2 linked regions of the Schizosaccharomyces pombe genome follow. The protein of the gene in region 1 interacts with the protein of each later gene in a pairwise test. Each region holds a gene or a part of one and is shown on either strand. Other genes may lie near its edges. The genes, in order: rpn1301 and rpn2.

Evidence for each region.
Region 2: the proteins of rpn1301 (region 1) and rpn2 interact in a two-hybrid assay, tested with the Schizosaccharomyces pombe proteins (one large-scale study listed by BioGRID).

What each region holds. Positions count from the first base shown.
Region 1 is NC_003423.3:4,206,578-4,210,586, reverse strand, and holds rpn1301 (proteasome regulatory subunit rpn1301), read right to left. Parts: upstream 2,325-4,009; 5' UTR 2,290-2,324; coding exon 2,210-2,289; intron 2,170-2,209; coding exon 2,088-2,169; intron 2,022-2,087; coding exon 1,308-2,021; 3' UTR 686-1,307; downstream 1-685. Other genes in the region: 1,3-beta-glucanosyltransferase Gas4, read right to left, coding at 2,970-4,009. UniProt on the Schizosaccharomyces pombe protein: Component of the 26S proteasome, a multiprotein complex involved in the ATP-dependent degradation of ubiquitinated proteins.
Region 2 is NC_003423.3:3,318,881-3,324,805, forward strand, and holds rpn2 (proteasome regulatory subunit Rpn2), read right to left. Parts: upstream 4,033-5,925; 5' UTR 3,962-4,032; coding exon 3,916-3,961; intron 3,855-3,915; coding exon 1,003-3,854; 3' UTR 753-1,002; downstream 1-752. Other genes in the region: DNA primase large subunit Spp2, read left to right, coding at 1-113, 157-582; dca7 (WD repeat-containing protein), read left to right, coding at 5,149-5,391, 5,507-5,740, 5,781-5,925. UniProt on the Schizosaccharomyces pombe protein: Acts as a regulatory subunit of the 26S proteasome which is involved in the ATP-dependent degradation of ubiquitinated proteins.

The sequences.
Region 1 (4,009 bases):
TATCTTATTCGTAGTGGAGCCAACATACATTCGAATTCCTAATGAGTGATAACTATCGTTTATATACTTTATTAAAACTTAACAGCTGTCTACGGCCATACCTAGGCGAAAACACCAGTTCCCGTCCGATCACTGCAGTTAAGCGTCTGAGGGCCTCGTTAGTACTATGGTTGGAGACAACATGGGAATCCGGGGTGCTGTAGGCTCCTTCTTTATTATTGCTATTTAATTACTACTATTTTGTTTGAGTTGACTATCCGCATACATTGTTTATATGATTTTTTTTCATGCAAATGAAGACAAGCAGATAGACGTTATAAAGCGATTATGATTGTAATGAGCAAGTCTAAATTTGCTCAAGAGAAAGAATGTAACAAGCCATAGCTCAAAAAAGCAATTACATTTACTACGCTTTATTTTTTTAACAATATATATTACTAAATGTAACGGATGACACCGAGGTCGGGTAGCGTAGTTGGTTATTGCGCACGACTGTTAATCGTGAGGTCGAGGGTTCGAGTCCCTCCCTGACCGTTTTATGACCACTTTTTTGGCTGTTTACAAAAGTAAAATCGTTAGATTTGAAATTCAATGATATTGCGCAAAAATTGAATGTGACTACACGTCAATACTTTAACCATTTACAGTTGGCTACTTTCTAGCTTTAGTAAATCATTTCAATACTGTTCAACTTTCTAACTTATTAAGAATAGATGTTGGTATTATGTATTTGACATTACATATCCTACATTTTACCAACTGTTTTGGAAATAAAACATATTTTGTAAAACAACAATAATCAATATAAAGCATAAATAATAATGAAGTATGAAGTAGAGATACTTCGGGAGTGCAACTTCTCATTTTTAGTCGTCCTAATGTAATTCATCCTTGGCGCTCGCAGTTCATATTCATGAACATACATTGCATTTATAAATCTTAAGTGTTTAGGAAAGATAAGCATTGTATGCAAGAAAAATAAAGATTGCCTATTTCCTAAAACAAATATTTCATATATGAGAAAAAATGAAACTGTACCAATAAACATTCTGTAAAGAGCATTTTGAGCGAGCAACATTGTATTGTGTACTCCAACTTACTCTTACTCATTTTGGTAAGAGGACAAATCCTACCATGAAAGCATTTTAATTCCTCCATATTTATTTAAAAAAAAAAAAAAGAACGCCAGTAATGCTCAATTTAAAAACTTTTAATACGAATCGTCAGTGAATTATAAAGAAACGATTCAACGGATAATATTTTAAATAGAAATTTTTGATATACGACGAATTACTTAATCGAAGACATTACTCAGAACCATTATTCCTGCTCACGAAGCGAGCAATTGCTTTAAGAAATTGCAGAGCACCTCCCTCATTAGGATTGGCAGATTCGTCGAGTGAGAGACCAAGTGCTGAAATAATGTTTACACCACCAGGAGAATTTAAAGCTTGAGAAAAGCTTCTCAAAGCTTGAGCATATTGAGGACTACTAACAATAGCCAAAACCCCCTCCAAATTATTTGGGGTATCAGGAGGCATGTAAGGCATGAGTCGATCAATAACACCTTCTTGGCATAAAAGATCGGTTAAATTCGAAGGTTTGAGGATTTCGCAAAGATCGACTGTACTACCTCCAAATCCAGCCTGAGCAGAAATTGTAGCCAATAGATTCCTCACAGCTTCCGATGAATTAATTTCATCGCTGTTCGGGGCTCCAATCTCGGAGCTCTCTTTTGAAGATTCAGTTGGTTGAGCAATAGGTTCCGATTGCTCAACAGTATCCACTTCCATCATATCAGAAACCGTTGCAACATCAGAGCGGGCCGGATCTAATAAATCTTGATCCTTAATGTAGCTGTTAATTCTTTCAGCGTAAGAAGTATCGTTATCGTCTGAGGCTTCTTGCATCCAGTAAAATAGGCTATGAGCGCTAGAAGGATATTTGAGCATGTAAGCTCTCCCAGTGGTACATTCCGTAACTTTTTCAAATGTACACTCAGAAGAAAATACAATTATATCCTAAACTTGGTTAGTATCGACTAGAACTTTTAATGTGTTACAGGTGGTATTGAAAGTGATACTTACATCCTCGGGATTTTCAAGATCATTCCTTTTTGCCCATTGAAAATGAATTAATCCATAGGCGTCCCGATTCATGACTATATAACTGTGATTTGTTAGCTATCATACATAATATGCGAGCATACCCTTTTTCTGGGTCAGCACGTAAAAGCTTTGTTCCTGGAACTCTGCGAAGCTTTCCTGCTTTGAAAGTTATCAACGACATTATCCCAATCGCAAACTGCTTAAACTGCGAAATGCAAAAGACAGGTTGTATGTACTGTGTCGAAACCACGAAGCTCTAGCTTTCGTTGTAGTTCGTTGCGTTGTTTAACAATAACGTTTGATTACACTGCAAAAATCCTATCCTTGAAACAAACATAGCTTAATTTGGGTAGTATGATAGCTTCGAGGAAAAATAAATATAACTTATAAAATAAAATAATCAAATATTTAATAATGTTATGTAAATGATACCTTACTACGTTTGTGAGAAAGCGTAAATACAGCATATTTAGATTCTGAATTATCTTTGGCTGTCAATTAAGTAGTTATATTTCAGATCCTACGATTGCAATTGAGCGTTGAATTCGCTATTTATATTAGGTGAATTCTTAGTCAATACGATATTTAAAGGAAAAATATGTTAATTCCTATAACCCTTTAAGCCCTGAATCATAATGAAGTTGGTTCTTTAGGAATACCAAAAATTACTTGAACAGACAAATACTACATTAGCAATCCTTTCAACGTCCGTAAATGATAAACAATATGATTTCATTTAATTATACTAAATTGTAACTGGAAATGTTAGCATTGTCTTGTAACAAATCGGCTTTAGAAGAGTTCAATTGAATTACTGAAACAAGTCATTCAGCTAAGCTCTAAATTTCAACAATTCTTTTTTTAGAAGCTGAGGGTAGCGATAAGGACAGTAATAAAAAGTGCTTGGCAAAAAGCAACGCCAATTTTCGATGAACCGCTTTCAGAGGAGCTAGTCATGCCAGATGTATAACTAGTTGTACTAGTAACATTAGATGGTTTGTTTTTTGGCTTGGGACGTCGAGAGGTAGATTCATCATCGTCACCATCGTGAAAAGGAGACCACATATTCGTTGGACCTTCAATTCCCAAAGGTTCGCCAGCACCTTTTTCCATGTAAATTTTTGCACCTTCCGGCATTTCAGGTAATTTTTCCCATGCGTTAAATTGAGTAGAATTAGCAGGGCATTTACTTGGCGATCCGGCCTTTTTATAACCACCATCCCCTTTTGGATTTGGAGTTTTGGCATATTGCTTCATCAACGTTATAAAATTTCTCGACACTCTACGCTCGTCATCTTTGTCAATAACGACTAATCCATAATGATTAGGTTCGGCTGAATATTCGTAGACCAGACCACCAGAGAAAACTGGGGTCATATCGTGTGAATATATTGCTTCAATCTCCGTAAAAGGTCGGTTAGGAGTCGTATCGTCGTTTATTTCAACAGTATTGCAACCAAATTCTGACAAGAATAGCGGAATTGAATAGTTACTAAATTCCTTGATGCGATCATAATAACCTGAAACAGTCATACTTGAGTATCCACACCATTCATACATATTGAAAGCATAAAAATCTGCTCGTTCGCTCTCATCTCCACAATTAAAATAATGAGCTAGCTGTAAACGGTTTTCTGCTACATCGGCAGCAGAATAACCAACTGGAATATGCCGATCACTATGTTTCTTAATGTATGCCTTCACATCTCTAGTAACCGCTTTAACCCATGTAATAGCGGTAGTGTCTTCGTCATTTACTACTTCGTTGCCGGAGAAGAATCCTAGTACATTATCGTATCCTTTGAATGCGTCTATAGTAGCAAATAAATGTTGCAGATAAACTTTGTTGTAAGATAGAGCAGGATGAGCACGAGATATTGAATGCCTATAGGTGTTCAAAT
Region 2 (5,925 bases), 890 kb from region 1:
TAGACAGTTTTGTTTCACATTTTCCATTATGCGCCAAACATTTACATGAAGTACTTAAGCGTGATAAGCATCTACGGCATTTTGGCCGTCTTCAATATGGGCTATTTTTAAAAGTATGAAACTTATTTTTTATGTAGTAATTTACTAATTTTTCAGGATATTGGCCTTTCTGTCGACGAAGCTTTGGTCTTTTGGAGGAAAAGTTTTACAAATGTAACAGAAGACAAATTTAACAAAGAATATCGCTACAATATTAGACATACTTATGGACTTGAAGGAAATAGGAAAAATTACAAGGGTTATAATTGCCAGCAGATCCTTACAGGGCCTCAACTTGGTCCTGGAGATGCCCACGGTTGTCCTTATCGTACATATTCAGTAAATAATCTAGTGTCAGCATTGGCTTCCATGGGAATAGCACCGGATTCTGCCGGATGCCGTGAAGTTGTTGAGGCAGTTAAAGCGAGGCATTATCATATTGCGTGTACGCGTGTTTTTGAGCTTACTCATCCAAATGTCGGTTCGCTGGAGGAGAGCATTCACCATCCCTTACAATATTTTCAACTTAGTTTAGAATCATAAGCTAAGATACTTTTAGTTCACGATTATCATAACACATTTCAATTTTTGTACAATAGGTATTGAACACTTTCAAAATACATTTCATAGCTATAATTCAAAAATCTAATTACCGGCAGGCTGGTTATATAGATGAATAAGCATTGTTACTAATAAAAGGCAATAATACCAAATCAACGTAAAAAACATGATATTTAATTTAAAAAACGTAATTGAAAACTTTTTAAATTTATCATCAAAATGAAATTGTCTAGCAATCTTCCGAACACTCAGTTCCGTAGAATAAATACGTTAACTTCAAACTACAAGTCTATTAACATATGAAAACGTTTGTATTTAATCTGAAGAGATGCAAGTAACAATCAAGATGTTCTTACAAACGTATATGGTTTTTTGAGACTAGCAGGATGTACTTCTGGGAATCTAATCATCATCATCAAATGGGTATTCAAAATCTTCAGGAGGAGAGGCCTCCTGTTCACCAGGCTCTGTATCTGCACTAGCAGGTACAGCGTCTCTATTCAGTTCAATTAAATCTGGAGCTTTATCAGACTCACGATCGATAAGCATAAGAACACCACCGGTAAATTTGCGAACCGGATAATAACGGCCATTAAGGTTAAATGAAATATATGGAAGCTGAGCAGGAACAACCCGCGTGAAGTTCTCTAAAGTTTCAGACTTAGGTTCTTCTTTTTTAGAGTTGCCGTTGATGCTTATATCCTGACTTTTTTCTTCATCCATTTCCATCGGAGTGGCCTCTTTCTCTTCAGTTGTCTTTTTGTCGATTTTCATTTCGTCATCATTTGAACCTTTACTGGCTTTTTCACGTTCAGCACGCTTGGCACGTGCTTGAGCTTTGACTGTAGTAGAGAGCACGGCAGTTTCAACTTTTTGGACCGTTTTAGCAGTGGGTTGTACGGACTTTGGAGGATAGGCAAACAGTTTAGGACGAACATTTGAAATAAAAGAAAATTTGGGTGCATTCAAGTTTTTATCCAGACCTATCAGCGCAGTAGGTGAGAAGGAAAGAGACATAAAATGCGTGAGTGGAAACCAGTACCAATATTGAAGAAAAACAGTTAATCCAACAATTGCAGACAATTTCAAACTACCAGTAGCTGTCTGAAGAGCAATAGTAACGTTACGACCGCCGGCATCAATAATACCTTGAGCCAATGTTGCGCCCAATTTAGCAAGCGCGTCTTCATGTTTTTCGTTGATGACTTGTTCAAAATGTTTTCGAATTCCAGAAACCTTACTATTCAATTGATCGTTGTGTTGAGTGAGAATCATTGCTTGAGCAATCATGGCACCTTGGCGAACAAAATCCGTTGCATCTTCAACAAGGCGGCTCAATAAATCTAGTGCAGCATTGGACCCCGAGTTTGCACAGGCAATTCCTAAAGCGATTGCACTACCATATCTAACATGAGGGTTATAACTATCAACGAGCAGCTCAACCGTTGAAATCAGAGCGTTAGGATCCTTGAAACAGATAAAACCTAAAGCACAAACTGCAGCACGACGAACATCATCATTGACATCACTAACTGAGATATGAAGTACGTCTCTAACTATTTTGCTATTGCTTGTACCACAATAAGCCAAAGCGGTAGCGAACATGCCTGCATAACGGAGAGTAGGGTCCAAATCATTATTCAGTTCTTTAATTATACCGTCAGCTTCTTGCTGACGTCCATAAACAATTAATGCAATACCGATGCCCAAACCTCGAATAATCTTCTCATGCTGCGTCTCATGTGCATACTGCAACATTTCATCAATGGCGGCAGAAGAAGCTGTACCAAGCATTATGAGACCCATGGATATACCAGCGGCAGACCCAGCCACGGCATTATCGTTAAAAAGGATAGTCTTAACAGATTCATAAAGGGTTTCGTCCCTACTAGCCATGCCCGTTAGGCCAATTCCAAGTAAGAGACCATACTGAACAATCTCATCTTCGGTATGTTTCAGTTGTTCGCGCAGATACTCAGTAACACCTCTTCCATGATTAGCATGAATCAACCCCATGGCATAGAAAGCACCACCTTCAGAATAAGTAGAGCTTGATGGCGCATCTTCTTCCGGCAGATAAGGACGAAGAATGTTCATAGCTTGATTATAATATCCTCGATGGATGACACCCAATGCAGCTGTTGCAGTAAATTTTGACCAGTTGTTGGCCTTGGATAACCAGGAAAGGTTGTCGCGGAAGAAACTATCCGAGGAAGTACCGAAGTTCATGAACGCATTGGCGAACGTAACTGCATTATGAAAAACCGAGTTCCTGGCTTCTAAAGAATCTTTCGTCCTGTTCAGAATAAGCATATCCGTATTGTTATGTGCATATAAAAATTCACGGTCATATTTAACGGTTTGTTCACCAGACAAAATTCGAATAATATAACCACAAGGAGAAGAATCCTCCTTTTTCGAATCAGCGTTAGCGTCCTCTTCGGAATTGGCCACAGAGGGAGAAGGAAGCAAATCCATCACACTATTTAAAAACTCTTGTGGAGCCGAATCTTCAAGATCAAAGGCTAATTGATACGCTGTCAATAAGCTTTTGTCATCGTTTTGAGAAGATAGTTTCATTAAAAGTTTGGCTGCAACAGAGGCATCGTTCAAATGAACAACGCATTTTCCAACTGAGAAATAATCAGGTTCTGTTTCTGTCAGAAAAGAACTTAGTAATAGACGAAGTAAGCGGTTTCGGAATTCAATGTCTAAAACAACAGTCATTGCAAGTTCCAGTACATAAGGCTTTAAATCTGTCTCTTTGTCTGCATTTAAAATGTATTCAATAATGTCAAGTCGATGAGCCTCGATAGCAATTCCCAAAACATGTCTCCATTCGTTTTTAGCATAACATTTTTGAAAAATGCCCTCGACTACGCCACTTAGTCTCTCGTCCAAGGGGTCAGCCTTTGGATTTTTGTACAACTCTGCACTTTTATGAATAAACATATCAATACATTTGAAAATTAGTGTTTCTTTGTAATCACTATTTTTGTCATGCAAAAACTTTGGACCACTTGACAAGGCAAACAAAAGAGCCTCATCATATTCTCCAAGGTAATAATAAACTTTTGAGACTACCAAGGCTGCTAATTCGCGTTCAGGAAATGAATGGTCCTCATACATAACCTCAATTTTCGTAACATCATCCGATATTTCCGGCCATAATTGATCAATAAACTCATAAATTTTTAGTAAAGCATGTACTTGTAATTCTCGCTCTTGCTCGTCCAGCAGGGCCATCAAACCACCTATCAAAAGGATTAGTGAACATGATTTCTACATTTTTTCATTGTTTAACGCTCGACGTACCTGCTGACGTTATAATAGAGGTGTTATCAGAGTACACCATAGTCATTTCGACGAAACTAGACCTGTTTATTTAAATCTTACAAACTATATAACAGCAGGTGGTGTTTCGTTGTTGGTAAATACCCTGAACCGTTGTGCTTCATTCCACCAACACATTCGGTAAGGGTAGGGCACTTGTACCAATAAATGTTTCAGGTATATTAAATGTAATGCTATATCATGTTATCCACACCACACCACCTAAATAATATTCAGTATTATCGAAAAAAGTCAAATTGTATGTTTCATCAACTATGTAAGATATCTCAACCCAATGAGGGATTTATATGAGTATCGTATCAAAATGAACGAACTAAGTAAAGCTATTCTGATCGTTCTATAATATGATTCTCATTGCCTTCTTATCATTCGCTTTTAGTATCGATAAATTTATAGTCTTTAGCTTAACAAAGTAGCTAATTTTTGTCGAATTTTTTTTTTAAAGCATTATAGTTGTTTGACTTCACAGTTATACTTTCATTAGTATTTTTTGATAGTATATATTACGCTGGGATCATTCGTTTAACTTGCAGTACGTATCAATGCCTAGTACAATATTACTTTACAAATACAATGTAATATAACAATTATCATGGTTCAGTAGCTTTGCAAATGAACTGTTTGATCAAGAAAATTTAATGTATTTCATAATTTTTCTCGAAGTCAATTCTATCAGTAATGAAATAACTAAGCCACATGGATGCGTCCAGAAATGATATCGAGGCCTTCCCATGCCACAATGTTTTTGGCTTTATTAAAACCACTGTTTTTTATTGCTGGCATGTTAATTGAATGGACATTTTTCGATGTCGTCAAACTGGAAGCAAACAGAAGCTAAAGTAACCCGAAATGTATTTTGTTAAAACATAACTATCTTAACTCTAAATAGATATAAAAAATTCTGTGTTTCACGCATACAATGATATTAATGTATATGTAATGATACCTTAACGGAAGCGCTGAGTACGGGATCAAAGGTCAATCAACAAAAAAGGGTGAAGCAATTGTACGCAGTCGCTTCTTTTAATTTACTAAAAAATTATTGAATAGGAAAAAAATTACAAATATAATAAAACAATTCTTCATTTTTGCGTTTTCGCTTTGCAGCCGGTATTCGCTGTTTGCTTTGTATTGAATATACATCATAAGTGGGGCGCTTACTTACTTTATCCCAATATCCACACTTCGCGCACAATGACAGATTTACGTAGAAATAGGTATTCAATATCTGCTGGCGTTGGAAAATCAGTACTTGATTCACTTGGCAAATTCTACGGATCGCCCAAAAGACAACTGCCTAACAAATTTGAAGCGGGAAAAGAATATACTGGATACAATGCACCGTGGATTCCATTTGCCTTGGATTGGTTAAAACAAGGAAAATATTCTAGTGAATGGATTGCTATGGGAAGTTTGAATGAAGAACCAAATAATATGGTATGCTAATTGCAAAACCAGGGGAAATATTATATAATTTTATCTGTGCTTCTTTTGGCATAGACTCCAAAGATGTACTCTGTTCTACGAAGTTACTAACCAAAAAATTGTTTAGATACAATTGTTAAAACTAATAACTGGGGATGATGGAAATTCTCACTTGGAAAAGGCGCAAGCAGCAACTGATCTTGAATACCCAGTTACGAAGTTGTTATGGAATCCTTCATCGGTTGGTTCTAACACCGACTCCCAGTTGCTAGCTTCTACGGATCAGCAATTGCGATTATGGAAAACCGATTTTGAAGCGGGGATTGATTCTCCTTTGTTATGTCAAGCCTCTTTATCTACCGTATGATTTTCTTTTTTCTTCTTGGCGACTAATGTTATAGCATGTAAAAACTCATAATAATGCTCCTCTAACTTCGTTTGATTGGTGCAAAACTGATCCTTCATATATCGTAGTGAGTAGCCTTGATACCACTTGCACAGTTTGGGACATTGTAGCCCAGCAATCAAAAACACAATTAATTGCTC